Linked DNA regions of Daphnia pulex. The protein of the gene in region 3 purifies or fractionates together with the protein of the main gene of each other region. This does not show direct contact. Links are inferred from orthologs where the notes say so. Each region holds a gene or a part of one and is shown on either strand. Other genes may lie near its edges.

Evidence for each region.
Region 1: the proteins of protein LSM14 homolog B-like (region 3) and complement component 1 Q subcomponent-binding protein, mitochondrial-like purify together in Homo sapiens (affinity purification with mass spectrometry; 3 studies listed by BioGRID and IntAct, with this or other methods). This does not show direct contact. The link is inferred for Daphnia pulex from reciprocal best matches to the Homo sapiens genes LSM14A and C1QBP.
Region 2: the proteins of protein LSM14 homolog B-like (region 3) and ATP-dependent RNA helicase me31b-like purify together in Homo sapiens (affinity purification with mass spectrometry; 4 studies listed by BioGRID and IntAct, with this or other methods). This does not show direct contact. The link is inferred for Daphnia pulex from reciprocal best matches to the Homo sapiens genes LSM14A and DDX6.

The regions. Positions count from the first base shown.
Region 1 is NC_060026.1:13,817,233-13,827,427, reverse strand, and holds complement component 1 Q subcomponent-binding protein, mitochondrial-like, read right to left. Parts: upstream 6,486-10,195; 5' UTR 6,426-6,485; coding exon of another isoform or gene 6,178-6,425; 5' UTR 6,104-6,177; coding exon of another isoform or gene 5,957-6,103; 5' UTR 5,900-5,956; coding exon of another isoform or gene 5,662-5,899; 5' UTR 5,340-5,661; coding exon 5,123-5,339; intron 5,061-5,122; coding exon 4,910-5,060; intron 4,845-4,909; coding exon 4,645-4,844; intron 4,588-4,644; coding exon 4,499-4,587; intron 4,436-4,498; coding exon 4,286-4,435; 3' UTR 4,227-4,285; downstream 1-4,226. Other genes in the region: translocator protein-like, read left to right, coding at 1-8, 80-259; translation initiation factor eIF-2B subunit epsilon-like, read right to left, coding at 654-716, 788-1,066, 1,131-1,303, 1,363-1,593, 1,667-1,859, 1,919-2,072, 2,139-2,261, 2,327-2,568 and 3 more; uncharacterized protein LOC124203752, read left to right, coding at 5,662-5,899, 5,957-6,103, 6,178-6,425, 6,486-7,391, 7,457-7,960; serine/threonine-protein kinase PAK 2-like, read right to left, coding at 8,630-8,965, 9,029-9,178, 9,246-9,371, 9,432-9,627, 9,691-9,878, 9,949-9,986, 10,110-10,195.
Region 2 is NC_060018.1:12,394,758-12,404,676, forward strand, and holds ATP-dependent RNA helicase me31b-like, read right to left. Parts: upstream 5,542-9,919; coding exon 5,447-5,541; intron 5,384-5,446; coding exon 5,311-5,383; intron 5,249-5,310; coding exon 5,014-5,248; intron 4,956-5,013; coding exon 4,812-4,955; intron 4,754-4,811; coding exon 4,659-4,753; intron 4,599-4,658; coding exon 4,476-4,598; intron 4,419-4,475; coding exon 4,290-4,418; intron 4,130-4,289; coding exon 3,949-4,129; intron 3,780-3,948; coding exon 3,568-3,779; intron 3,504-3,567; coding exon 3,438-3,503; downstream 1-3,437. Other genes in the region: 28S ribosomal protein S2, mitochondrial-like, read left to right, coding at 459-526, 596-848, 1,269-1,286, 1,340-1,388, 1,444-1,880, 1,943-2,143; tyrosine-protein phosphatase non-receptor type 14-like, read right to left, coding at 6,836-6,964, 7,028-7,191, 7,260-7,419, 7,496-8,062, 8,151-9,191, 9,261-9,396, 9,458-9,546, 9,625-9,783 and 1 more.
Region 3 is NC_060022.1:6,098,526-6,108,723, forward strand, and holds protein LSM14 homolog B-like, read right to left. Parts: upstream 6,663-10,198; 5' UTR 6,506-6,662; coding exon 6,385-6,505; intron 6,118-6,384; coding exon 5,942-6,117; intron 5,871-5,941; coding exon 5,754-5,870; intron 5,695-5,753; coding exon 5,613-5,694; intron 5,558-5,612; coding exon 5,438-5,557; intron 5,208-5,437; coding exon 4,825-5,207; intron 4,762-4,824; coding exon 4,478-4,761; intron 4,418-4,477; coding exon 3,934-4,417; intron 3,875-3,933; coding exon 3,851-3,874; 3' UTR 3,004-3,850; downstream 1-3,003. Other genes in the region: superoxide dismutase [Cu-Zn]-like, read right to left, coding at 1-53, 118-305, 364-454, 584-649; uncharacterized protein LOC124196543, read left to right, coding at 1,400-2,176, 2,274-2,727, 2,782-2,951; cytochrome c1, heme protein, mitochondrial-like, read left to right, coding at 7,299-7,367, 7,444-7,491, 7,557-7,705, 7,766-7,898, 7,960-8,253, 8,315-8,539; nucleolar protein 10-like, read right to left, coding at 8,779-8,904, 8,974-9,073, 9,144-9,355, 9,428-9,505, 9,565-9,655, 9,727-9,920, 9,976-10,136, 10,197-10,198. UniProt on the Homo sapiens protein: Essential for formation of P-bodies, cytoplasmic structures that provide storage sites for translationally inactive mRNAs and protect them from degradation. Acts as a repressor of mRNA translation. May play a role in mitotic spindle assembly.

The DNA.
Region 1 (10,195 bases), on a different chromosome or scaffold from region 3:
TGGAATGGGTATTTATTCAATTTAAAAGTATTAAAAAAAAAAGAGTTTTAGTTTTTGTTACCGACTTATCTATTTCCAGGCATTCTACGAAGTCATCGCTCTGCTTATCGGCATCGCTTCTTGTGTCTACACTTTTAAATCTGTCAACGAAACGGCTTCTTACTTGATGATGCCCTACTTGGTCTGGGTGAGCTTCGCTTCGCTACTCACCTTCACCATTTGGAGAATGAATTTACCAGCAAACAAGAAAAAGATTTAAATGGATAATCGTTTGGTTTGGATTGCTTTCTTTCCATCCCACATTCCAACGTCTTCATTTGATGAGCATTTCCATTTACCGGTTAATCACAAAATTTCTCAAATAAATGCATCCGTTAAAATAATTTTGTACGTCCTTTTTCTTTACGATTTAACCCATTTGGAACTACGAAAGGATTTTCAAAATTGGTTTCTTTCACGACATGAACTGAATCGGTTACTCTTAAATACGCCACCATTACACTTATTACTTATGTGACCAACGCCTGTAATTTTCAATGGTTATCCAAGTAAATGTGAAGTAGTGACATATAAATTGTGAAAAAAGATATACTTCAATAAATTCGATATTTGTTACAGCTCTCAGAAACCAGGACAAATTCAAGTGCGACTTATCAATCCGATTCCTCCGATGATTCCTCTTCCGCTTCTTCCAGCCATGTAATAAATGGTTCCACCTGTTTCAAAACACAAACAAGTTAATAACAGGCCAAGGATCAAGTCAACTTTTCAAGAAATTAAGACGTACAGTTTTCCGGATAGTTTTCAATGCACTGGGATCGTTCGGTGGATTGGTGTACCACTCCAAAATTGCGTCCTCACTCAACACGTCCTCGCCGTACAAAAAATGGAGAACTTTACAAATAGATTTCACAAAATGGGAGTTATGAACTCCAAATTCTTCCAGAGCCTCGAGAGAATCCAACATCGACTGATTGTTTTTCAAGTAATTTCTCATGACAGGAAGAAAGTGCTGCAATATCGGCCTTAGAGCGACCCAATCTTCGTTGGTGCCAGTGGCGGCCTTCTGTAAAAGCCAACCAAATTTCAATCAAACATCTAATACAAAAAGATTCGCCGTTAAAGTTTACCTTAGTCATGACGGATGGCAACGAAAGCATAGCTTTGATAACGAGCATGTTCACCTCTTTCATGGTAACGTTATAAGCGTATTTGGACGAGTTAATTTCAAGAACCAAGTTGTCACCCTTGATTTTTTCTTCGTAGCCTCTTTGAAGACTCTCCAAGACTTCATTATAAAATGCTATAGAAAAATTCAACAAATTAGTAAATTAATTTTTTAGGTTCACATAGGCAACTTACATCTAGCATTCATATCCTCTGGCAGGTCGCCCACGTCCACTTCTTCTTCGTGTTCTTCATCTTCGTCGTTATCAGCTTCGTCTTCGTCTTCATCTTCTTCACTTTCTGAATCTTCATCAATGTCCAAGCCCCATAATTCATCAATCAAAGACTCTGCATCGGAATCTTCTTCGACGGGTCGTTGATAAACGTAAGCGACACTATCGGCACTAAACGGTTTAGCTACCTTATCTAAAAGGGGAAACAAAAATACCAATGTAACTATATTTAAATTAATAGACATACGTATTCAAGTTTGCATTACCATCTTCTTCGTCCGATGTTTCAAAGTCGTTATCACATTTGGGAGGATGGGCCATGAGGCGAGTATTGTCAGGGATTTTGGTACCGGCAGCTAAAACTACTCCGGGTCCAATGACACAGCCTCGGCCGATTTTGACTCCTTCATTTAACACAACACCATCGGCGATGAGAGCTACTTCAATGTGGCAGTTGTTCTAATTAAAAGCAAATTGTTTGATTATTTATCAAAAATAAAATTTTCGCTGGGTCTAACCTTGATGTTAACATCGTCCCAAATATAAGCATTATTGATGTACACGTCGTTTCCGATTGTGCAACGGCTGCCAATGACGGACTGGGTGACGAATGTGCGTTCTCCTATTTTAGAGTTTTCTCCTACCGCCACGTCCCTTTCCAAAACACTTTCCCTATTTCGCAAATAGGGTGTTATCATGGTAACATGGAAATAAAAAAGAGAAAAGGTTATTGTGTACTTGGCCAAGGTGACACCAGGCTGCTTGTAAACATTGTGACGTGATAAAGTGTGTCGAGGAGTTGTTTCACTCCGATTCAAATCGGGAACAAGCGGAAATGCCCATCGTTGAATAACATCTTTGCTGTAAAAATAAACATTTTCGTTACTTGATGAGTAGAATTTAAAATGTTGGAAAGTGTTCCTTACCTCACAGCATCATACATGGGAACGTTCGAAACATGTGCCGCGTATGATCCTTCCAACTGATGGTAGTAGATGGTATTATTAAGAATTTCTTCGTTGATGAGAATACCTCGGACAAAATCTCCCCACGTTTGGTAATCGAAATTGTCGGAAAAAAGCGGCAAAACCACGGGAGAACAAATAGAAATGTGCGTATCAACCAAATCATAGCGCAAATCAACAAGACCGTGCTCTTTAAACATTTCCTGTAGATTTGATATGAAAATCAATAAGAATCGTTGGTTTCGAAACACTGAAAGCAGAAACTCACCAAAGGAAAACTGAGCTTCTTCAGGTTTGTTGTTTGCTGGTAATTGAGAATACGACCGTTGGTGGGATTGATGGCTAAGACGAGTTCTTCTTCTGCAGAACGGGATCGATGACCCGGGAAAGATTTCTTAAAAATGTGTGTCATGACAATCCCTTTATCAGTTTTCCTCTTTTCTCTATTAAAGAGTGCATGAAATCAAAATAAAAACTTGATATGGATTTGATTACAACTTTATAGAGATGTTACAATTTACCTGTGCTCTTCTAATATGGGTATGAGCTGTACATTAGAAATGACATCAGCAGACATCAATATAAAGTCTCCTCTTATCAATGACTTTCCATCTATGTCTCGAAGGGAATCTCCAAGAGATCGACAGTCATCAGGGCTTTGAGAAATAACTTCAATGGACATAGGAGACACAGATCTCATCCATTTAGATTCTTTGAGGTACTGACGAATTTGATCAGCATGTGCAACACAGTAAACAAAGGTTTTCTGTACTCCACTAAGAAGTAGAGATTCCAAGGCATAGTCAATCATGGGCCTATTGACCAGCGGAAGAAGTGCCTGATGTAATAATAGTTAAACAGTTATATGTGTCCTCAACGTTAAAAAATCTAATTGTAGGATCTTCACCTTCGGTTTTGAATCAGTTACAGGTGCGAAGCGTATTGAAAAACTATCAGCGATTAGAACAGCAAGAACAACATCTTCTTGTTTAAGAACTTCAGAACCGGACTTGGACATTGATTTGGAAGTTTTATTGGAGCTCATTCTTTAATTCAGTATTTCAATTCTCTTGTGGCAAAGAAAAGTATTTCTTATAATTTACAACAGCTGTAATAAATAGTGTCCACATGTGAGCTCGTCCAAATTCAAGGAATTGCAGGAAGGGAATGGGATTATGGTAATGAGAAATGATGCAAAATATTGTCTGCTACAAAAGTTACTTTCTTTCGCCGCTAGGCTATCTCAATGGAGCAGACGATCGAATCAAAGTACACATGATTTGATAATGCTGTAAACTACCTAGTACATAATATGTTTTGAGGACCGGTTTTAATTGAAATTACAACCGTGTTGAATAAATTTTCAATCAAGAAAAGTGCTCTAATTTGTTAATGATCTCTGCTTATCCTGCCCAATCTTCATCTACAGTTCAAAGGTACAAGTGTGGGACACACAAAGCTCTTAAAGTATGTTAATTGATTATTGTATTTTTATTTTTCTAGGTTAAATTTGTACCATGAATAGTGTAAGTGAAGCCTGTAGCCAATTGAAGCAAAATTATGATGCATGTTTCAACACATGGTTCACAGAAAAATTCTTAAGAGGGGATCATTCAACAGACTCATGTGGTCCTTTCTTTAAGGTGTATCGTGAATGTGTTAGGGTAAGTTAATTTTGGTCCAACATTTCTGTCTTTTATAGATGTTTATCTACTCTTTTCTGTTTTAGAAAGCAATCCAGGAACAGAATATTGACCTTAAAGAAATAGAAAAAGAAGTAATGGGGACTGAAAATGAATTTAAGACCCCTGATGGTTCTAAATAACCATTGTTTTGGAAAACCATAAATAATAAATCAGCATTTTAAACAAAATGACTACATAGCTTTTTATTTTTCATCTCAAAACTATTCTAAACCTTTCATTTGCCTTGGACAAAAGACTGAAGGCTCTCTAACAAATTAATAAATAGATGGTGTTCCCGCTTGGTAGCTAGATCGCTCAGCTTTTCAGCAAATTCGTTGGATACTCCTCGTTCTTCGAGCAGATTCATCAGAAGGTCGTACATGTACTATAACGAAAATGTGAAATATCAGTTTAATTTGGTTAAAATATTGTTGACTTTAAAATATACCCCATCAAGAATGTCTCCAGCGACAGCATAAGTCTGATCATTATGTTTGTCCTCATATACTGCAAGTTCATCAATAGTGAAAATGTCATCTGAAAAAATCGAGTGTTATTTATATTGTTGGCTATTCAAATACAATTAACACTTACTTGGGGCATCTTCAACAGGCTCTCCTGCATCTTGAATGTAACTGCAGGCAAATCTGGTTACTTGATTTCCCTTCATTAGTTTGACTTCAAAGTGTGGTTTTGATTTCATTTCAGCCTGGGGAGGATTGTCAGCTTTGTTGTCAACTTCCTCACTGATGTCAGCATCAACAGAATGGTTGACGTTAACTGTTATCTCAATTCTGTTTAATGAATAAAATTAAGCCACAAGTTTCAATTTAGAATTGTCCCATAAAGATTTACTCACTGTTCATCATTAAATTTCTTAGACAATACTATCTCTGAACCATTGTGTTTAACATCAAATCCATCCAAGTTAGCGACAGGCCTGGCTTTGCTCATTCCCTTCTTCTCAGCAGCAATTTCCTCTGAGAGGAACTCAATCAGCTCTTTGTCCCCTATGATGCAACATATATTATGCTGTATTTAAATGTGACGTGAAATGGTTAAAATGTATTACCTCTTGTATGAACTCCTCTGCATTCTCCACATGGGCAGGAAGGGCTCAGGGGAGTATGTTTGAATGCTGGAGAAAGTTTTGTTGGGACAAATTGATTTGTGGGATTAGACATGTACCACAAAGACCTGGTAATGGGTTTCGACAGGATAGACCTCATGGACGCCGGTAACGCATGGCGTGAAACGTTTCGAACGACATTTATCACCGAAAATGACATTATGGGAATGAGATTTTGAACTTTAACAGAGTCTTACAAATTGAGATTTTAAAGAATGAATAGAGCGAACGAAGATGAACTTTATCAGCGAATTAAATAATAATTCTGCAAGGGACTGTGGTGCAAGAGCAAGACTGCAAGTTAAGACAAGAATCTTCTGGCAAAAGCAGAAGCCACGAGGAAATATATCGATTATCGAGTTTTTTCCACTATCGATTAATTGTTGTGGGTTTTTGTTTACAACTTAAACTGAACTCAAACTCCCTCCGAAACTGTGAAAACAATAAAAGGAATATTTAGTTAATATTCAATCGTCTTTAAGATGGGACCTCGTAACAGATGTTTTCTGAGTCCATATTGCACATCTGTTACATCGGGTAACGGAAATGAAAAATACTTTAGTATGCCAAGTATCCCAAAGGTAAAAGCTGGGCCTATGTGTGAATTGACAAAACAATTAATCCAAAAGAGACGTTCTTTGTGGTTGAAAGCATTGGGTCTTACTGAAGCTGATACGGAAAGAGAACCAATTTTAGTTTGCTCAAAACATTTTGTATCAGGTATGTTAGATAGAATATGTGTGAAAATAATTTGATCATATTTCAATATCTATATAGGTAAACCTGATGTAGGTGTGGATTGGGTGCCAAGTTTAAACATTCCGATTCCAAAAATCATACCTGTTCCACCCCCCACAGAAGAGCACAGTTACTGTCAGTCAACAGTGCCACCAACTGCTTACCAATGGAAGACAACTGTTTCAGGTACGATAGTGTCTAAGTCATTATCACCTTTTTCAACCTTTGCTTTGACTACAATGTTGTAAATTCATGTATAGTTAAAAAAAAAAGATTATTGAGTCAGAGGCGTAGTCGTCGTCTACCAATACTTAAAAAGAAAAAAGAGAAGGCTATTGAAAAAGCCACGAAAGCAGAGAAAAAAGCCAAAGACATCGAGGTAAAAATTCGAGAAAAGAAATGGAAGAAAAAGAGACTTGCCATAAAAAAGGCAAAAAGAGAAGCAAAAATTAAAATAGCAGAGAGAGAAGCAGCTCTTTTATTAAGAAAGAATAATAAAAAAAACAAGGTATAGACAATTTTTTGTTACCTAGAACTTCACCAAATAATAACAATGTTTAAAAATCAGGTGCTGCCTGAACCAAATGCAAATCAAATTGAATCAATCGATATGCAACTACCCTCTGCTGAGGATCATTTCGACACGTCGTTTACGCGAATAAGTGAAATTAGTAAACAGTTCAACACATCAGGAAATGACTCCATCACAACCGAAGTTAAAGATATGTCGAATACTCTACCGCCTGTATCAAGCATTTCACCAACAGTATCCAACGGTCATCTGATAATTTCCGGACCATCCGCTCAACAACAACACGTCGAGGCAAATTTGGTTGTTGCGTCTACGGATAAAGTTACCCCTTTGGCACCATCTGTTTCAAAGAACGAATTTCTGCAGCTTTTATCGTTAAGTCAAATCGGTCAAGGTTCAGGAAGAAAATCGACGCCTGTCAAAATTGCGCCAAAAAGCAGAGATAGCAATGCTCCTAAAAGAGTAACTGAACCATTGAAAAACACCGTGAAACTTCCCTCCAAGATTTTGATTGTGAGAAAAGATGCATTTGATAAAACTTCGAGAACCGTGATAACGCTAAAGTCATCATTAAATACTCCGCCTCACATCGTACAAAAGAATGTTGGAAAGATTGTACAGCAAATCCAAGCTCCTCCTTCTTCCACGACACTCCAGCAACAACCAAAACTCGCGGGAAACTCGACTCCGACTATTAAGTGTAAAGCTTTTTCTTCAACAGATCCAGCCCTCAAAACCAACGTAGCTGAACCATTAAAAATGCTACAACCTGCTGCCAAGACTTTGATTCTGAAAAAAGGTGAACCTGCTAAAACTTCACCAACTGTTGCAGCACAAACAAAATCTGCAAACCCTTCCTGTCCTGTATTGCCAAAAAATACGGAGGTCGTATCTCGAATGGAAATGATGGAACCATCATCGCCAGCTCCTCAAAATGGACTAGTAATTTATTACTGTAGTTGCCTCAGTATTTCTTTGCGATTTTTAACGATTTGGTTTTTCTTTAGATATCTCAAAATCTGCACAACATCGATACTTACATCCGAGACCTGATGCTTAAAAAGAACCCCACCGCTCAGGACACTAATCTGAGTTCTTTATTGCTGAATCTAATTAATCATCACCAGAAGAACATTTTGGATTCGGGAAAACCAGCTGCTCAAGCCCAAGCCCAAGCTTCAACTGCTCGAGTCACTCGCGATAGTGCAAACCACGAAGTTGTAGACCTAACTAAGGACGACTGTGACTATATTCTCCCCGATGTTGCTGCCCCAAACAATTTACGCCCAACTTGCAATTGTCGCAACTCCGTTGAGGAAGTAACCTCTTTGAGATACCAACTAGAACAAAAATCAGTTGCATTGAAGGCTTGTAACAGCGATATAGATAATCTGAAGAAAGAGCTTTGCGAGGCAAAGGAGTACATAAGTAATCTGGCAGCACAATTGCAAGAAAATACTCAGACTTTATGTTCCATCTTAGCCAACAGCCCACATGAAATCCGAAAGTAGTTACCATAATCACCTGGGCTCGTTTTGTCGCACGATCTCTCAGTTGTCTGTTGTGCAAAACGTAAGTGATATACAGGATCTTGGGCGCCATGGTTTCTTCAATCTCTATTTGCCTCTATTTAAAAAAATATTTCGTTGTGATGTATAAATACGATTAAACAGAAATTACCAAGTTTTGAATTAAATACACGGAAATTTTAGAATAATTTTTCTCTGAATTTCGAGTTATTCAACAATCTGGTCGTCTAGTCAATCTATTCAATTTGATGCGCTTATTTAAATTAAAATCGAATTGGAACGAAGGTTCACAGTTGTATATTGCATCAATTTAATGCACATAAGGATAAAAGCCAAGCGACAATCAATCCGTCTTACGGAACATAAAATACTGTGAAAGTTAAGGCTTGATGAACAAGACTAGGGAAAGAAAGAGTGGTCCATGAAAACCTTAGTTTTGGGGGGTAGCGACAGCTTGAAATTTAAAACAAATAAGATACTTTAGTCAAATGATTGTCCGAAGTTAAAAAACAAAATGGAACACCCAAAAATCTTTGTAAGGATCATTTTCGTTAAAAATGGTATGGCACTCGGTTTTGGTCCCGCAAGTTTATACCCTATTTCGTTTAAAGGGACTTTGTCATTTAACAGCTAGGGTAAAGGCAGTTTCTCTCACATCGTTTTCTTCAAGATTTGCTGAGCAGCTTGAATATTTCCTTTAAGAGTTCGCAAATCAGAAGCACGGAGGAGAAAGGGATGCTTGAGTAATTCCTCGCTGGAAGCTCGCTTGTCTGCATCTACTTCTAAGCACCGCTCTAAGAAATTTTGAAACTCGGGACTCAATTTGTTCCATGACGGAATTTGAGGTCGACCATTTGTTGCGATCAAGAACAAAGCTCTCAGTTGAGTTTCTTTTAGGTAGGGTGGCTCTCCGTCTATCATTTCGATGGCCATGATACCAAGCGACCATATATCTATCTTCTTACCGTACTTCTTTTTGGTTACAACCTATTTGATTTTAAAATATACTTAGACATTGTCATTTTAAATCCTAAACGAAATGTAAATTACCTCTGGGGCCATCCAATAAGGAGTTCCCACCATCGTTTGGCGCTTCTCATCGCCTTGGATATTTGCGCAAAACCCAAAATCTGTCACTTTAACTGTTCCATCCATGCCAAGCAAAACATTGTCAGATTTGATATCTCGATGGATAATACCCTGGTTAAAAACAAGCAGAAAAATTGTTAAGGGCTTTGTTTGGAATCATAAGATCTCCAACACTTACTTTGCTATGTAAGTACGTTATTCCAAGAAGAACTTCGCGGCAGACAGCAGCAATCTGTCCTTCTTTGAGCACCGTTTCTGTTACGACATCAGTTAATGGTCCTCCTTCTAGAAGTTCCATTACCACCTACGGCATTTCAATTCTTTAATCATTGGCGATCAAATATTTTTAGCACATTGCACTTACATAAAGGAAATCTTCGTCGTAATACGCATCAAGAAAATTGACTAGATTTGGATGAATGATGTCACGCATAACGAAAATTTCATTCAGAATCATTTCGCGCTTAGGTTGCTTTGACAAATCAATCTCTTTGATGGCAACACGTTCATTTTTCCCTTCTGACTCTGAATCATTGGCAATGTAAACCGTGCCAGACGCTCTAAAAATTTAGAATATTGTTTAAATGTATCGAATGAATAAATATTATTTAAATAGCACATACCCAGCGCCAACTTCTTTTAGTCGAACATAACGCATAAAGGGATTGCCACATTTGCAAAGCTTTCTTAATGCGGAATCAACTTCATCATCAGACATCATACCATCCATTTTAATTTCTTTTTTGCGAATAAGAAGTGGGCTTCCTCCATCGAAATCTTCTTGTTCATTCTTTGCTTCCTTTAAATTACCCTTAAATTTGAAAATTGCTTCAGCACATTTTATATAAGAAGATAGAAATAAAATTAAAAATATCATTTACGTCTTTAACGACGACAGTTTTGTTGAAATTAGGTCCGCCTGACACAAAATAAAAATATTATTAGGATCATTCAATAAAAAAAATCAAAGAAAATCAAAGAAAAAAAATCGATAAAGCTCACAGATTCATAAAATGAAAGCTTGGCGTCGAGGAACACTTACAGTCATCAAGATTTGTAGATTCCAGGGATACACGGCTACCTTTAGGCGGAACAGCAGGCAGGGGCGGTGGAACATGGCCCGTAGGG
Region 2 (9,919 bases), on a different chromosome or scaffold from region 3:
TAAATAATCCCTCTTAAAATTCTTCACAGATGGAATATTAACGATTTAATCAATATTATAATTCATCCGGTAGAGATGGAGCCCTTTCCACTATCTACCAGACCCGACATATGATGTCAACATGCAGTGATTATGGCATTGAATTGAACGTAATTTTATCTCTAAATACTAACCTTGGATAACTTAAATTTCAACAAGAATGGGATTTAAAACTTCACTGTTAAATTAATTCAAAACAATTGCATGATTCCGCTCGAGGTCTATGACGCTTTGAGAGCTTCAAAACGATACTACTGCCGCTCGCCATCTATACTTCGTTGCCGAAGCTTTTCTTCATTTTAGTCTTCATTATTGACGCAAAGTTGTTGACGAAAGGTTGACATTCATTTTCGAGCACCCATTTAGGCCATTTTTTCTCGATTCGTTGTTATTTATACAACACAAATACACAATAAACGATGGAGTACGAGGCTGCTGTGAAAGGCCGTTTAAAATTGAAAGGAACTGCTAATAAAGATATTCAAAAGTAAGTTTATAATTATCAGCTAAGGTCATACCATGTTCTTTGTTTATAATTTGATTTGTCTTCCATTAGGAAACTTAAGAAGAAGAACAAGGAAAAGGCTAAGAATGATGGAGAGTCTTCTAAAACTAAAGAGCAAAATGAAACCCCACAATCATACAAGCAGCCTGTGGTTAAAACAAAGGCTCAATTGAAGTTTGAACAGATGAAGGAGGAACAACAGAAAAAGCGAATTCTAGAAAAGGCCTCTAAGACTCACAAGCAACGTGTTGAGGAATTTAACAGACATCTTGACAGTCTAACAGAGCATTTTGATATTCCTAAAGTCAGCTGGACAAAATAAGTTTTCTGGAAATTTTATGTGCATAACATTGTCTCATTCAAATACATGATTTTCAATTTCGTACCAGCTGTAATTAGTTCATTAATTTTATTAATAATATTTGTTAAATCCTCAACATGAAATTAGGAGATTATTTTACAATATTCTATTACAAATATTCTACATTTCTACATCTTCGATTTAGTTAATCGAAATTTTTCATCGCGTTTTTATCTCATTCTGTCGTAACCTAGCAACAACGGGTGCAACAACATCGTCTGCTATTAACTTCTGAAGGAGTAGTGCGGCGAATTTTTTTTCTGCTTTCACGATGATTAGAACAATTACAAATCGTACAGCTCGACTTAAATTTATTTTGCAAAGTACTGTCCTTTCCAATCCTTTCTTGTTTGTTTTTTCTAGGTTTCTCCTGGAAATTTGGTAGGTGCTTAACACAAACATGTTCACTCACAAGTGATACTTCTCACTGCCAGAACGCAACAGCTTTGAAAGTTAATCAACCAACTGAGCTTAAAGAGAGGGGTATGATAATTTGGAAAATTGCAAATCTTAAAATTATACCTTGTTTTACTTGTAGAATTGAAGGAAATCACAAATCCTCTCCGATTTCCTGATTATTTTGGTGTAAGGAATCTGTTCAGACTGAAGGATTTGTTTGATGCAAAAGTGCACTATGGACACAAGGATGGAACACTGCATCCCAATATGAAACCCTACATTTTTGGATCTCGACTAGGTCACATCATCTTTGATTTGGATAAAACAACTGAACTGTTACAAGATGCACTCAACTTCACAGCCCATATAGCCTATAAAGGAGGAATAATTTTATTTGTATCTCACTATCCACAACACACTTTAACAGTAGAAAATGCAGCAAAAGAAGCAGGGGAATATGCTCATGCAAGAGAATGGGATTTCCATCTCTTGACAAATTCTGAAAAGATTTATAAAGGTGTAACCCGATTACCTGATCTTATCATTATGGTTTCCACATTGAACCCCCAGATGCAGGTATTTGTACAAATCTTACAGACTTAAATCTCAAGCTTACTTGTTTACATGTGTGCATTCAGGAACACACTGCTGTCAGGGATGCAGCCAAAATGTGTATTCCAACTATAGGAATTGTGGACTCAAACAGCAATCCAAATTTGATAACTTATCCAGTACCGGGTAATGACGATTCCCCAACAGCAGTTCGGTTATATTGTAATTTGTTTCGCGATGCCATCTTGTTGGGCAAATCTAAAAAATCAGAAGTACCATCATCTTAGATCCTAGAGTATTTTTTGTGAAGTATAATAAAATGGATTTCACGACATTTATTTTCTTTCTTAATTAAGTTGTTAAAAAGAAAGCAATAGCCAAGTGCACAAATTTTAACCAAAACATTATACAAAATTGTTTACATTTTCTTACTTGATCTAGTTATCGTTATTGATTTTTAAAGAAAACTAAACCCGCCCAAGGTACTACAATGAAAGTTCATTACACATACTTTATCATTATAAATTGTAATAGTAAATTCACAGAAAAATTAAGAAAATGAATTCAATTTCAGAAAGCGTTTATTAATAATTTCGACAATTTGTTTAAACGGCAAACACTTGAAATTGAAAAGAAAAATTTTTTTTTTGTTTCTTCTGGAGGTGAAACTAAGAATTTTTATGTTTTTTTTTGTTGTTTTGAAGTCGACTTCTTGAGGGTATACAGATGGGAAGAAGTGCATAATGACACTTGAGATCTCGCTCATTCTATCAGGTCACGTTCGGTAATGTTCATCAGCAAACTGTCGCGTTCGGGATATAAAGCTCGTGCAATTCGGCGAGCACAGAGTCACAATCGGTATTAAGAGGAGTACGAAAAATTCCATCCAAACGCAGTTGGGCGAGAATTTTGGTACGATACATGTTAACAAATATACAATTCACATTCAGGTAGTGGGTCGGCTAGATTATGTATATAAAATGTAACGGGCGGCTTTCAAGTCTTATATCGGTGAAACTTTCCTCGACGAGGGAGCCATTGTAACATCACCAGTGGACTGCTTTTGGGAGCGAGATTCTTCCATTCCAAAAGCAATGCAAAGTGTACCAAGCTGACCCCCCCAAACTTCATTTCACATACTTACTCCCTGACGGAATCTCATCTTTTACGGAACCTGCCGCCCTAACGCTTTAGCCTTCGACGTTCACACATCCATTCACGCAAAACATTGTACCCAAAAAAACAAAACAAAAACTTTTCTCCTAAACTGAAAAAAAAACTGGCTCTTCGCCACCGTGAGAATTTACATATTTACAACAGTCTTTCGATAGCGCATGCTTAAAGTTATCCTTGTTTTTACTCTTGTACAATGGTTTTTTTCCCTACATGCTGCAGCACTCCTCCAATTGCTAATGAGTGCTTTTCATTAATTCTGATCTTCAATACATTGGTCCCAGTGAACGACCTTTCATAAATTTCACTTACAGGATTCATTTTCTTTTCTTTTTTCTCAATTTTTTTTTGTGTCCTATCATGACGTTGTGTGATGCATGCGCTTTTCGAAGACATTCTCTCGCCTTTTTACTTTCCTGATTGCTCCTCGGAATCTTCTTGGAACTCGGCCACGTAGAGGGATTTGTCAATGACCTTCATTGAAAAAATAAAACAATGTAAATACAATGAATACTTGCACGAGATATCCAAGACTAACCTTAGGAATGGGCTTGATTTCAGTGCTAAGTTCACTCTCAATGCGATGCAGGGCGAAACGATCTTCATAAGTAATCAGATTGATAGCAATACCCAGGTGTCCAAACCGACCCGAACGACCAATCCTGTGCAGGTAAGTTTCAGCCATCTTGGGAAAGTCGAAGTTGATGACCACGTTCACAGCTTGAATGTCAATACCACGAGTGAACAAATCTGTTATAAAAACGCAAAAGATTAGTTTCAACATCCTTTTCTCTTCTTGGCTTCACATTATTAAATGAATCAGATGTTGATTTTCTTTCAGACGAAAGAAGGGGAATCCAACAAAAAGTTCATCATAACAGTCGAGCACTTAACATTACAAAGATGAAGCAAATCTTACCGGAGCACACGAGGTTACGGCACAGCCCATTACGGAAATCATGGAAGACGCGGTTTCTGTGAGCTTGCTGCATACGGGCATGAATGTAATAGCACGAGTAGCCCAGCTCAGTGATCTTCTTAGCCAAAAGTTCCACACGTTGAGTGGAGTTGCAGAAGATAATACTTTGATTGATCTGCAACTATAATATCAACACAGATATTAATATCGTGACTTTAAAACACAGCAGTTAAAATTAATTCAAGTAAAATCAGGTGTTGATTTTCTCTCAGACGAGAGAAGGGGAATCCAACAATAACTCATCAGTCTTATACTGAAAATCTAAATAAACCTTTACTTACTTTAGAAAACAGCGTATTGAGGCAGTGCACTTTTTGCCGTTCTTGGACAAAAGCGTAGTATTGCGTGACACCTTTCAGTGTTAGTTCTTCCATCAAATTGATTTCATATGGGTTATCAATGTGTTTCCTCTGTGGATACAATCATTGTTAAATCAAGAACCAAATTACAAGAACCAATAAACCTACCATAAACTCCTCGACAGTTACAGGGAAAGTTGCCGAATAAAGCAAAATTTGGCGCTTGGCTGGTAGGAACGAAATTATACGATCCAACATTCCCATGAAGTCTTGAGAGAGCAGTTTGTCAGCCTAGTTACACAAAAGAATAAGAACAATCGTCTAACAGAACTCTTAATAATTCCCACATACCTCATCCAAAACAAGGACCTTACAACGGTCCATTACCGCAATCTTCTTTTCCATCAGATCCAAAACACGACCAGGAGTGGCAATCACAACATGAACTGGAAGAAACAATGATTGTTAAAACTTGCATGGAAGTAAACAAGGAATAATGAATACCTTTTCCAAAGATCCTCATAATGTCATCTTTCAGGTCAGTACCACCAGTAGTCACCATGATACGAATATCCAAATGTTTAGCTAGTTCAATGCAGATTTGGCTTGTTTGCAATGCCAGTTCACGTGTTGGCACAACAATTAATGCTACAAAGAAAAAAAAATTAGGCCCAGAACTGTAAGAAAAACTTAAACTTGTCAGTACCTTGGATGTGTTGCTCAGACGGAACTACTTGTTCCAATACTGGTATACAATAAGCACCTGTTTTTCCAGTTCCATTCTTAGCACGAGCCAGGATATTACGCCCAGTCAGAGCCATAGGAATTCCAACCTCTTGAATGGGTGAAGGTGTCTCCCATCCCTTTTCAAAGATACCCATCAACAATTCACGCTTCAGACAAAAGTCTTCAAAACTTGTTCCCTTAGTGTTGGTAACATCCTGAAATTAAACCAAAAATTTAACCCCCAACTCTCATAGATGTTTGAATGAAAGAATATTACGCTAGTCTGTTTTCTACGATCCTTGGGTGGGATCTTCAACTGAGACTTCCAGAAATTGTCAGAGTTATTCTCTCTAAAATATTAACAAAAACAGTCATGAAATACGAACAAAGAACACATGATTTTTAAGACTTACTGCTTCGCAATTAGCGGCTGAGGACTGGGTCTCATCGGCGAAAGGGCATGATTGTTGGCCACTAAGCTTGGCTGACTAGCAACGGCTTCTGCCATGGTTTTCTCTTCTTTTCTTTTTCTTCTTACTTAACAAAACTTTCGAGCAAAATGCCGAATTCCTTCTTCAACAACGATCACTTGAACTTAAGTTTCTCCAACGAAGGCGAACGATTTCTGCAAACGAAAATAACGTGAAACCAAAGAAGCAGGAACTATGGCTTCAGTCTTCTGTGCACATACAAACGTCGCTTACTAAACCTGAAATAAAATGAGAAAAATCGAATCTGTCAATGGCGGTAAGTCAACAGAATCGGCGTCCATATACACAAAGACTTTTGATCGTGTAACACTGAAGCATTCAATTTCGAATAAAATAAATCTCAGCAAATGACAAACTGACCTAGTAGACCAGTAGTTGAGATATAATAGACAAGTTTTTAAACACGAGCAAGGATGTCAACGGATAAAGAATTGGTTTATCTGAGAAACAGTGTTCACTATGGCGCTCTACGCATCGAAAGCAAAGCAGCGACTGTTTGTGAGTGAGTCAGTCCACAGATAGGGGGAGGGTCGTGACAAACAAGTTAGAGCAAGCAAAACAAAACTTGGATAATATTCAACAATTGACATCACTCAAAATGAAGAAATTAAGAGAAGAAAATATACCAACCTTACGAAGATGTTGACTAAATTGGAAAATAATTAACAAGTGTGTCAATGTTCGGGAACAATGTCTATCTATTTTGCGCGAGAGTCGAAAGGGATCTGAGTAGAGATAGTAGTCGAAGTCTCTGTTTAGTCCTCCTGGTGGCGGTTAGAGGTAATGAAACATCCCTTCAGGGCTTACTCGTGCCTGGCTTAAGGGGGGAGGCGGGAGGATAGGTATATTGAGTTCCACGTCGCCAAATTGTAGAGCATCTAGGGAATTTCAATTATATTAATTCGATAATTTTTATTATTTATTAAATGAATGAAGATCAGGTGTTGTTTAAAAATATCGTTTATTATTTAATTCTCTATCAATAAAAAAAGGCACGTCATAGGGACTAGGCGTGAGTTAATAATCTATAAAATTGCTGCACATCGTGGAGTTAGTAGAAATGCAATAGAAATTGAAGAAACGCATGTGATTGAAACACTCTTTACAAATTGTATAATAGCTTTCCCACAATTCATTAATAGTGGTATGTTATGAAAAAAAGCAAGCAAATAATGGTTGGTGATCATATGAATTGCCTAAGTATCACAAAAATGGAGGAACATGTTGATTGGCTTGTTCATCTTTCAACAATTGAATCAAAGGCCGAATGCATCGTGTGTGTGTGTGTGTTTTAAATATATCATTGCAAGATCAAATGAGTCGAGAGCGGCCAAGGTAAGCAAGTAGTAGGGCATATATTGAACGATACTGGGCAACGGTCTGCACCATAAGCATCCTTTGCTGGCGCAGGTGATTAATAAGTTTCGGGACGTCGACGACCTGTTGATTATAGAAAGAACATTAGCCCAATGATTTGATTAGGCAGATTTGAATGATACTCACAACATTGTGATCGAGTGATGTAAGTAAAACGTCGCAAGCGATGGTGACACCTGTTCGACCAACACCCGCTCCGCAATGAACCAACACTGGCGTGTTTCGGTTCTTACCCAGTGGAACATCAGACACGGAATGTCTTCGCACTGTGTCCATCTCCTCCAAAAAACCTGAAATCAATTATTTTTATGTTAACCCCAAACATTGTAAACAAAATATCCAATCAAATTTGTCTTACTAAGGAAAGAGGTCACATCTTTGGGGCAACCGTGATCAGCCCAGTCAGAGTATTGAAGATGCCAAATGCTGCGTTGTTGAGCTGTTGGCAGGTGAGTTACATCTAACTTTGTGATGGATTGACGGCCGGATAGTTTGCCAACCTGCCGCGTGATTTTGTACTAAACCACAACAACAACAAAAAAGCAACAAATAAAAACAATACTCTAGGTATTCCATGAGCAATGCAATTAGTACTTCGCCAAATTCTAATGTGGCAGCATCTTGTTGCGGCCAATAAATAAAACCGCTGTAACCATTCATGCTGCTATTGCTGACGTGGCTTCGCAAAGAGCTGACCGACTTTGTGTTGTGAGTTGGGGTTTGCTGTCCACCGTTATTGCTGCTTGACGTCGTGTCGGCTAGCATAACGACAACGTAGACGTCACTTTGCCATACCATCTGCCAAAAGTCAGTTACGGTGGATGGCAGTGGACCTTGAGCCGCAATGTAGAAGCGTTGAGCCGAACCAACAGCAGCGGAGATGTGTGATGCATTGATGTAGCCTGTTCGGTTTTCTCGGCTGGGAGTCAATTTAACCCTATTCTCCTCGTAGGGCAAAACGTCTTGATACCTAAAAGAAACAACCAATGGTTTAATTACTAATACAACGCAATAATTTACTGAAAACTGTCCATACTGGTTACGAGATGCGTTATCCGGGTGAGCAGCCATGCTAAAATCCGCACCGGCTTTTCGTCTGGGAATCAGTTCAAATTCCAGGAGAAGTTGGCCATCAGCCAATCGGGATTCCATTTCTTGGCGCTAGATGGTCGTTTTTGTAAGAAAATGGCAAAATAAATCCTCTTCACTATAATTTCAACTAATTACTGCTGAAAATTTGTTGAATTACCAAATGATCCTTGACAAGAGTTGCATCAGCAGGGGCAGCTCTGGCGGGTGAAACCAAGTGATGAGAGTGGGAAGCAGAACTGGACGTTGAATCATTGGTACTTCGCTTGGCGGCTGGGGATGACGAAGGCGAATCGGTCTGGACGCGATTGATGACAGCAGAACGAGCAGAGCTACGGACAGGCAAACCCCATTTTCTCCTGGGTTGGGAAGCAGTTTGTGCGGATGTGGACGGAGAGAGATTCGGCTGGCTTCCGGGCTGGCGTAAGGGAATATTTTGATAGATGGGCTCGCCGTTTCGCAATGTGGCAGAAACTTCTGTCTGGGCTTGAGTAACTGGTAAATGGCTCATCGATCCTGAATTGACCGGTGCCACTCCATTAATAACGGCCACTGCCAAGTCTGGGCTACTATTACTGCCAACTTTGCTATAAGGGTAAGGCGGAGGGGGTTTGTACATTTTCATCATCTGCATCTGCTGTTGGGCACTCTGTTGTTGCTGTGTCTGAAAAGGTGCAGGAGCGGATGGCTGAACAGCTACAGCTGCTGGTTGTTGTACTGGTTGCTGGACTGGAGGAGTCGGATTGAGAAGCAATTGCGCGATATCGTCGCCGTACTTGACTCGAACGGCAGTTTCATAATCAGGTGCAGGACGGTAAGCCGGCAATAAAGCGCGTAAATTTTGTTGAGAGGCAGCAAGTGATCCAGCACCTGATGCGAATCCTCCACCACTGCCCGCAGTGCCAGCTAACAAATGCGTTTGTGCTTGAGCAGGATTTAAAACTGTTAAAGTAGGTGATGAAATTGAGTGTGGTAGGGCTCGAACGCTTCCTAAGCTATCAATGCGATATTCGGCCATTGCACTGGAACTCCTGGGCTCTGCAGATTCAAACATTGAAGTGGATGGGACCAGATTGCTGTTGACAGTGGCACTGTTTGATTCCAAGTTTAAACCAGCTATCCCCATGTCTATATCTTTGTCTTCGGTCGCTTGGGATTGCAGGGACTGGAGAGTTAACAACGTTTGTTTGTAGAAGGTATGCTAAAAAGCAAACCGGATCACAATTAGAATGTTTTCATTAAAATATCGAGTAATTTAAGTAGACCCTACTTGAAGAACAGCTAATTTCCAGACATAACGGGCTGCTTCAGGATCATCGAAATAAAAGTTAACATTTTCTTCGCTACGTTGGCATTCGATACCAAACATTCTCTTTTGATTCAGCAGGTTTGTTATATCGTCCCACCTAGCAAGTTTGAAAACTTGAAAATACCGTAAAGAGAAAACAACACGATCGACAGCGCTACCTGTAAAAAACAACTCGCTCCGTATTGTTACGCATCACCAAAATTCCTTGCAACGACGTAGCAACCAGTGCCTCGCCTGCTGGTTCTTCCTGAAAATACAAACGGAGAAAGTTTATAAAGCGTGCATTCAAATCTCTAAACTTGAATTTGAAAATTGGGGTAAAAACCTTTGCTAAAAATCGTTCCTGGCCGTAACCGTCAAGATGTTGGGCTTCCACAATGTACCAGCATTCGGCTACAGGTTGAGGAAATCCAAGTAGTTTAGAATGTTGCGCAGCTACCGCTTCGGTTACAGCATCCAACTGACTTTCGTTAGTCACAAGATGCTACACGGAAAATTTGTAATTAATAAAATTACCGACTAAAAAAAACATATTTTAGGAAAATTATTTACTTTGGGAACAAGGACGAATTCTTTCAAGTATTGTAAAGTATGACGCTCAGGATCATGATCCCCAAATT
Region 3 (10,198 bases):
ACTTTACTCAGTTCATGTCCACCCTTACCAAAATCATCAGGATCAGCATGTACCTAAAAGGATGTATAGTTTCTATTAACACATGGGAAAATAAAGGTGAAAAATATGTATAAATACCACAACTGTCCTGCCAATTATTCCATTGACACCAGATATGGACAGCAAGCAGTCCTTGATGTCGACAGTGGCAACTCCAGATTCATTTGCAACAATGTTTCCGAGATCTCCTACATGACGAACTTCATCAGTTGGACCACCATGTTCAACAGCAGTTGGGTTAAAGTGAGGTCCAGCAGACATGCAACCTAATAAAGACATTAAATATCACTCACACGCAAATAAACAACCTTAATTATGTAATACCATTAGTGTAGTCACCAAACTCATGAACATGGAATCCATGGTCACCAGGAGTAAGTCCAGTTACTTCTCCCTTAACATTAACAACATCTCCCTGAAAATAGAAGAAAAAACATTTACATTAACTGAAAAGCCGAAATTGACAAGTTTTCCATTCGGTATTTGAGATTTTGATTCTACAAAGAATGAATGGCAGTTAATTATACAAGTAATAGTTGCTTACCTGTTGGTCAAAATGTAGGACGCCTTTCACGGTTTCCCCCAAAAGTACACACACAGCAGATGCCATTTTATTAGATAAATAAGGTACAAACGAAATGTTCCCGATGAGTTGACAGATTGTCAAACGACGTGAAACGGGCAGCGGGCAGTTTCTAGACGAAGTTGGGTATTTCCAACGTTGACACAGCTTTCATATTTTCAACGAAATAAAAACAAAAGATATAGAATAATATGCAAATCCAAAATTGTGATATAAGAAAATATTTTTAAAAATACTGAAAATGTGAATCTATAGCAATCCAATTGCTTTCGCTCTAATTTTTTTAATTATGCGTCTTGGCTGACTTAATTCGGTTGGCGGCAAAGCGCTAGAACTAAATTCATAAATTGTCACTTTTTACACTAGGAATTGGAAACCTTTATTGACAAAAAAACATTCAATGATTTTTATTTCTCTTTTAGGAAATGTTATTCGACCAAATGGTTAATGAGTAATGCGTATTCTCACAATTTCTATGCAAAACAAATGTTTTGTTTTTACCATTTTCGCTTGCTGCGTTGCACTGTTGCCTAATCTTTGAAGTCCAAGGTCAATTTTCACGAATTTGTAAAATAATTTAATTTTTTCTTATTGTAAAACAAAAATCGATTGCCCTCATAAAAATATCAAGCATCCAAAGTTGGCCTGTCTAACGAAATCCCTCTAACTAAAAAGTCAAAAGTTCAAGTGAACGGCCTTGTTTTGCTCCAGGTTTGTTATCGGACGGGGAATTTTCTAGCCATTGTGAATGGGATTCCCCTAATTGCTAGATAGACGATGCAGCCGTTCAGGTTTCAGTGTGTTACTTTGTTTAGTCTAAAGAACATGGCAAAATCATTTCTCTCTGTGTCGTTTATTCGCAGCATCGAAGACTCAATGGACTGGTATGATCACATAGCTTTCAGTTTTTTGCTTTTTAAGAAAGGCGATGAATTGGTAGCGCTCGAACAAATGCAGCGATTAATCAAGCTTCACGAACGAGGCTGCCCTGAGTGGAAAAGGGTTGCGATCCATTTGGCCATTCAATCGGCTGAGATGAATCCTAGTGCTGTGATTGAAGCACTGTTTCAGCTAAAGCAATGGAAACTCTTGCGATTAATAGGTTATTCCGTTTCAACGCCGATCGAGTACATTCCTAGAGGTCATCTATTTCCGTTTAGAGTTGGAATTTTTTGTATTCTGGACCAGCTGGATCGTTACGACGCACATTTGTTAAAAAGTTTCATAAACAGCATGGACGCAACAAATGAATTCCAAGTGATTGAAGTCGTCGTTTTACAGTGGATAGTGAGCGGCATTATCTCTACCAATGATTGTTCGAAATTGACAATTGCTCTCGGCCGAATCGGCAGAAATGATCTAGTAAACTTAAGTTTACAGCTACAAAGCGGACGATCAGGGACTTCATCAATGAGGGACGAATGCTTCAATCAAAGTATATTGAGGCATTCTACGATTGGAAACAACAGACTCCAGCCAAGCTCATCTACCGGTTACTGCCTGATTGTACACCAGAAAAACATTTACAGAGAACGGGATCCGATATTAAAACACGTTGGGAAACAACTAACTCAATTAATCTAAATAGAGATAAAATAGGATGAGACTAATTGTTCATTTATTTTCCCCTTATCTTTTATTGCGAGGGTAGAGGGTCGAACTCGACGTACCAAATTACCAAGGAAATGAAGCCGATTGCCGGACATTAAGAGAAACATTTCTCTCTCTCGGTTACCAAGTTGAAATAGCTGAGGACCTGACCAATTTTGAATTGAAGCAAAAGGTGCTGGATGTCTCACGTGGAGTTGACTGGACGAGATACAACGGCCTGACCCTTTGCTTTTTATCCCACTGCATTCAAGGCCAAATTTTAGGCAGCAATTCATTGACCATATCATTCAATAAAGACGTTCGAAAATATTTTAATGAATGCTACTGTCCTGGCTTAAAAGGAAAACCTAAAGCAATAATTTTCTCAACTCCATTCGGCTCCGCTGGATGGAATCCGGTTTCGCAGTTAGATTGTGTAGGAGGATACAACCCACATTTATACGACAATTTCCTTGTTATTTGGCCAACGTCTTACGTTCTGTCTGTTTCAAATGGTAATTATAACGAAAACTTAATTTTTACATTTAATTTTACTTTGAGGGAATTAGGTGGATCACAATTTATTACGGAATTCAGTACGGAACTGAAGAAATCGAATGCAGCAAACGACACAACTCTTGCGTCATTCAGGACTGCCATTAGTACCATAAATAATCGCAACAACCTTACTCGATACCGAAAACGTCAGTTTTGGTCGATTCAGCAATGGAATGTTTAAATTTCGCATCAATTTGTTCATAAACCAAATAACAAGTCAAGTCATAACAAAATAACTGATTACACGACGATTTTATTTACTGTACTTTTGCTTTTACGAGCTAGTCGTACATGCCCGCAAGACATAGGAGCACATAAACAATACAGAAGACGATAGTGCCATTTTGTCGGTGTTCTTCACAAGTCGTGGAATTTTGTATACCAAAACAAAGTATGGACGAAGCGCGAGTCACGTACAATACGAAAATTACGGTTTGCCACGTCGTGTAAAATCACTCGCGGGTTCCAAACGTTGCACACATCTCTGCAAATCCGAAAATCTGACCAACTTGTTCAATTACATGACTTACATCCCACGCACATTCATTCAGAAAAATTGGAAGGGGAAATTGGGACAATGTAAAGGGGGCAGCTGGGAGACATAAATTGAGTGAACTGGGGGGACAGATGCAAAATATGAATAGACGAGAAAAGAAAACAAAGTCAAAAGTCTCTACAATAATTAAGGAAATAACAGGTGAGAAAAAAACAAAAGAAAAACGAACATATCAACTTCCTTCTGTTCTAGGTGTTAAATCCAAAGGATCTCAATCCTCCCAAAAACAATCCTCACCAGGTTACTGACGGACCCGATGAAACACTTGTAGCAGGAATGCTCCGTACGCGAAGAGAGGAGGGCCCAACAAGAGTTACGATCACTTCACACCGACGGCGAGAAAACAAACCAAAAGAAACTGTACACCCACTCGCACCACTCAATCACTAATCCGACGCCGTTTTCCAACTCTACCAAACAGAACCTCTCACACCAATTGCCCCCCATATTTCTCATCAAATGTTCAACGGAATCATTCCCCATGCTTCAAAGTAGCGCATCAATAACCGGCTTTCGTACATTTTCTACGCTCGATTCTCCTGTTGTTGCTATTAAAGAAAGAAAAAAATTAAAATTTTGAATTAATTGTTGCAGTATCATCACTTACCCAATTCCTCCTTTGGTTGTAACCACCTCTGGGCTGACCAGTACTTTCGGAGTCGCGATTTCCTCCACCGTTACCTCGTCCACCACGGCCACCTCGGTAACCACCTGATCCCCGATAGCCACTGCGTTGCTGATAGCCTCCATCTCTTTGCTGATAGCCTCCATCTCTTTGCTGAAAACTTCCATCTCTTTGCTGAAAGCCGCCATCACGCTGTTGATATCCTACATCTCGGTTCTGATATCCGCCATCACGTTGATAACCACCTTCACGTTGCTGATAGCCACCGTCGCGCTGTTGATAGCCATCGTTATTCTGCTGGCGATAATAACCTCCACCTCCGCCGCCACCACCACGCCCACCGTAATATCCTCGGCCACCACCGCCTCCACGATTAAATCCACCTCGGCGTTGATTGAAAGGTAACCCGAATGTCTCGGCGTTTAATTTTCGCTCCTGGCGCCAATCTGTCCGTTGAGTATTGCTACTTAAAATATAATATTATAAGTCACCTGTCCATCAAACCCATAAAATTATGATTTCTTACCCTTTGCTGCGCTCCACAGCCTCGCAGCTGATTGAATCGAAGAACGAGCGCGTTTTGTCGTAGCAGATGGGTTTCTCTGGAGACTCGGAGCCCTTATCATCGTCATTGGGTGAGACTGAAACCAAAGCTTCTGTTGAAGCTTCGCCATCGGCAGAAACTGCAACGGTGTCAGCAGACTCGCCTTCTGTCTTCTCTTTCTTGTCTGCCTCAGGAGGGCCGCTCAATACAAGTACTGTATCACCACCAATTTTCATCTTGCCCATTTTGGTTTTCAGTTCCTCAAACTAATTTAAATCATAAGACCATGAAGCGCACGAACACCTTCAGAAACTACACAAAATAGTTACCTTGACGTTTGCAGATTCAAAGTCATAATCTTCGTCGAACTTCAGGGGTCCCTTGGAGCGATTGTTAAAGTTGCTAGCAAAACGATTGAAAGATCCTTGTGGATGTCCACCCTGAGATCGACCGCCATCTCTGCGATCAGTATTCTGACCTCCACCAGCGTTGTTACCACGTGCACGGCCACGAGAATTTGATCTTCCATTTCCTCCCCGCTGTTGCTGGCCTCTATCGTTCTGTTGAGACCGACCACCACCACCTGATCCACGGCTGCTAGTTCGTTGATCCTCTTTCTCACCTAGCAATGGTGATTTCCTCGATTGACTCGTCCCCGAAGCGCCACCAACAGGCGTTGAGTTGTTGGACCTGCCAACTCCACCCAACAAATCTAAGGTATTTCCAATAAACAAGATTAGACAGGTGTTACAACCGAATAGAACTACAGACCAACGCCACCAAAGGACAAAGCCAAAGCAGTTAACAAGTTACAATTGCGGGTTCATGCAAATGTAGAAGCAGCTATATATACGCATGCAAGTGAGTGGGAATGAAGCAGGCAAAATTAGTCATGCACTAAGCAAAGACAATTTATGTAGGCAATGTCTTTTGGCCTTGTACCTTGGTCTCCCTCGGATAAATGATCCGGGTGAGGGGGCATATCCCCATGAGGGGAAAGGGGTAACTCACTGGCTGCAGCAACAGCGGCGGCTCCACTCAGTCCAAGTCCACCAGTTAAACCTTTTAACAAACAAATCAAGTTGGCTACAAAACACTAATGAAGACAAAGTTTTACCTCCAAGTCCTGCACTCAGGCTGGGCGCCATCAGGTTTCCTAGCTGTCCCATAGGGCCACCAGAAGCTCCACCATCAAGATTCTATAAAAAGGTTTGATTACACATCAAATCTAAAATTAAAACATGCAAGCAAGAATTACTGGATAAGGATTCAGACCACCCAACGGTCCAAAGTTGGGCCTCATGATACTTCCAGCAAGTCCAGTTGGTTGCTGCAGTCCAGTTGCACCAAGTGATCCAACACCTGGTACTGAATGCTGCACACAAACATGAGAATATTTTTTTAAAACTTCCATCATGTCATCGTCAATCAAAGTGATAAATTTACCTGAACAATGGCTGGATCATAGGGAAGAGTGCCTGGTATGGGAGGTTGAGGTGCAGGTGGTTCACAAAGACGAATATCTTTAATATCCTGACCCCTGAAGATGATAAACTCAAACACCTCATCTCTTGCAGCAACAGGGTTATCTGTAGGCCGGTTTTCCGTTCCAAACATACGCACTAGAATAACAAAGATGATTAGAACATGCTGACATTCACAGTACTTCTTACTGAATAAGGAGAATTATTCCCTAGCTATAATTAAAAACAAGTACAATGACACAACTGACAAGTCACCCTACCAAACACTGCAACCAAAATAGATGCCAACTATTTAAATTAGTCATGTCAACAGTTACTATGCATAGTTGACATGAAATGAAAAGAAACAGTTTTCGAGTAAAATGTTTCGTATAAAATACATCACATCACAAAAGAAATGCTTACCTTTAGCCAAAGCCAAAGTTGACTCATTGGGATTCAGTGTGAATAGGATCCCTTCGTAACGGATCTCCGACTTGGAGATGAGACTGATTTTACTGCCTAGTAACTGCATAGCTTTACTCATTTTCGAAATTCAGCCTTAATTGGCTACACAATTTCCGTCCCAACTCGATGAATTCGGATAAGTATTTTCGTCTAATCGGAATCCGTCGCACCGGTGATCGAAAATTGAATGATTTCCAAAAAGAAACGAAGCTACACAAGAGAACTCAACTCCGTTGTTAGGGGCGACGTTGACAGATTTGTTCGAAATTTCAGCAACTGCAGCCTGTTGACGAAAGTGCCTCGGGATGTTTCGTGTCTTGTTGCTAAATTGGAGGTAGAGTGTGATTTGTTTTAATCCATTTAACTTTTTTCAACCTGAAAAGAAAAGCAACTTATTATTCCCGTAGATTATTTGACTATCCAGTATCTAATTTGTATTTTGTTTAATGCTACTTTCCCCCAAGTTTTTTTTTTCATTTTCATAGCATGTGATTGTGACACAAAATTTTTTCCAAAAATGATTTCTTGAATTATTCCAATGAAATATGGAAGTGATAAGAATTTTTTAAATTACAGATCGATGAATAATACCAAAAAACCAAATATAAATAATAAATAATGTCATTTGTGGTTTGAAAAGCTAACGAAATAAATCGATTGGTGATCTCATTTTCTTAAAATTAAAATTTTACGGTAGTAAACTTAGAGTGATTAAATTTATTAATCAGTTATTGATAATATATAGTCATGCAAATTTATTTAATCAAAAATAAATGATTAACTTGAAAAGTCTTTTACGTAATATATGGAATTAATTGATGTTTCAACGTTGCATTTGACTTGGACGACCCGTTACGATAATTTCGTCAAAGATGGCCGGAGTTGCTGGTAAATTCGTGAAATCTGGGCTTCTTAGAGTCCAAAACAATGCCGTTATCCAGGTTTGGAATGCTTTAAGCATACTATAATATTCATTTAATCCAACATAGGGAAATAACGTTCGAATCTTGGTTTTAGCAATCCCATCTGTCTACGTTGCGTGAGCTCTCGGCCGGCAAAAAAGCGGTAAGAAATAATACAAGGAAGTGTTTTAGGTTATCAAATCTCAGAATATTGCATAATTTTCTTAGGGATTAGCGGTAATTGGGTCTCTAATTGGTGGAGCAGCTGGTTTGGCATACACTTTAGACCAGTCGGTAAAGGCTTCAGGCCTGGAGTTACATGCTCCCAGTTTTCCATGGAGTCACAATGGGCTCTTTTCATCTCTGGATCATGCTAGGTATGCTTAATTTTAAAGTGATTTGTTGTTCTGAATGTACATAACTATTTTTGGAAATAGCATACGTCGTGGTTATGAAGTCTACAAACAAGTCTGCTCTGCATGCCACAGCATGAAGTATTTGGCTTATCGCAACTTGATTGGTGTCAGCCATACAGAGGATGAAGCCAAGGAGGAAGCTGCTGGCATTCAGGTCTGTATTAATGGTTTAACTGTCAATTTTCCAATGTAGTTCAAAGTAATATCCATTGTAGGTTACTGATGGGCCCAATGAAGATGGTAACATGTTCCAACGCCCTGGTAAGCTTTCTGATAGATTTCCGAGCCCATATGCTAACGAAGAAGCTGCCAGGAGCGCCAACAACGGTGCCCTTCCACCAGACCTAAGTTACATTACCGCTGCTCGTCACGGCGGAGAGGATTATTTATTCTCTCTGTTAACTGGCTATACCGATCCACCAGCTGGTATCACATTACGTGATGGTCTTTATTATAATCCTTATTTCCCTGGAGGCGCTATTGGTATGGCTCAAGCTCTTTACAATGAGGTACGATTTCTGTTCACTTTTTCAACAAAGCGATTCTAACAAGCATATCTTTGATCTTAAGGTGATTGAATACGCGGATGGTACGCCAGCTACTGCCAGTCAAATGGCTAAAGATGTGTCCACCTTCCTCAAGTGGTCAGCAGAGCCCGAACATGATGATCGCAAGAAGATGGCTTTGAAAGCTTTGATGCTATTCTCCTTCTTGATTTCAGTAGCTTACTACTGGAAACGCCACAAGTGGAGTGTTGTTAAGAGCAGAAAAATCATCTACAAGCCAAAAGAATAGGATGTGTCGATTACAGAAAAATTTTATGCAATGTAGAAGGGAGGATGACGGTGCAATCTTTGAGCTCTCCCTACCATCATCTACATTTATTGGTTTAGACACCCAAAAACCGATTGATATAGCGATTGTACATTCGAGTCAAAACATCTTCGACTCAACTGTAGGAATAATAATAAAGATAAGGTTTAAACACCGTAAACACGAAATGTCTTGTTTATTTCACTTAATCAACAAATAAATCAAAATCTTCCGCGACCACCCCGCCCACGACCCCGTGTTCTCAAGTGATTGGCAGATCGAATAATTTTACGTCGCTCTTCATGATGTTGTTCGGCTTGTTCTCTAGCTTTTGTGACGCGTTCACTCTAAATGGTCAAATTTTAATTAATCCGTAATTTGAAAAAAAAAAAAAAAAACTAAATTATGATGAATACCTGTGGGAGCGTGAAAGTCATTTCTCTAGAACCAGCTGATGGAGCAAGCTTAACTTTGTCTACATCTTCTTCTAAATGAATTCGCTCACCAAGCGAAGCCCTGAGTCAAATTGAAATAGCATACAACATTAAAATGTAAACACAACAAAATCGAAGATAATTATTGATACTTGGCCAATTTCTTCTTAGGTTGATCAGTGGTTGAACGGAACCCTTGGAATTTTTGCCCAGGTTTTAATGCCATGAACTTAGGACCTTCCAGCTTCTCTTGTTGTCTTTCCAATTTTCTCTGTTGAAACTTCTCTTCTCTTATAATCTTATGCTGTAACTTGATTTCATTTCGAAGACTTGCGTCGTCAGAATCACTGCTGCTGTCATCGGTCTGTTGGGGAAAAATTGTATACAGTATAAGAAACGTTTACCATTAACATGCGGTATGAAGTATTTGTATTACCGAAATTGTCCGTTTGCGACCCTTTCTTTCACTATCTGAAAATTCATCATCATTAAGTGGATTTTCCGTGCTCGTTCCCTGCAATGAATTAATTACTTTATTGTGTCATTTTGTAAGGAGCTATTTTTTATTCCTACCTCGACGGGCTCGAACTGGTCTTCGATGAGAGCCTTTTTGATACGTTTTTCTCGGATTTTGTCCAAACGTGAAACTGCAGGATTTAGTAATCTGTTGACGGAATAGGAACGCATTGTTTACACTACCAAGTCGTTTTGTTCTACATCACAAATAAATATTACCTGAATTCTTCAGAAGATTTGTCTATCTGGAAGTTCGGGTTTACGAAAAGATCTTTGAAACGCGAATCATTTAGAATGTTGGAGCTCATAAGTAATTTTGCACCACTCTTCTTTCCAACTGCTTCAGCATCATCAACCGCCTTACTATCCTCCATAAGCTTAAGTGCAAGCTCACGGTTAATCGCAGGAAGTTTCTAAAAAACAAACAATTATTGTTTTTGATCCAAATTTGAATTTTAGGTGTATTACCTGCAATTGAACTCTGCTGGACCGCTGTTGGTCAATTGTTTCCTTTACTTTATTCTGTTTGTAGCGGGTAAGTGATAAAGGTTCAACAATGGATTTGGCTTTCCTATATAGTCGCATGTCGATAAAATAACCGTGCATGTAGGCACGCAATAGATTGGTCCCTATAAAGGAAAAGGCGTGTTAAAAAGAAGAATAGAATTCTAATAAAATTTGGAAAATACCA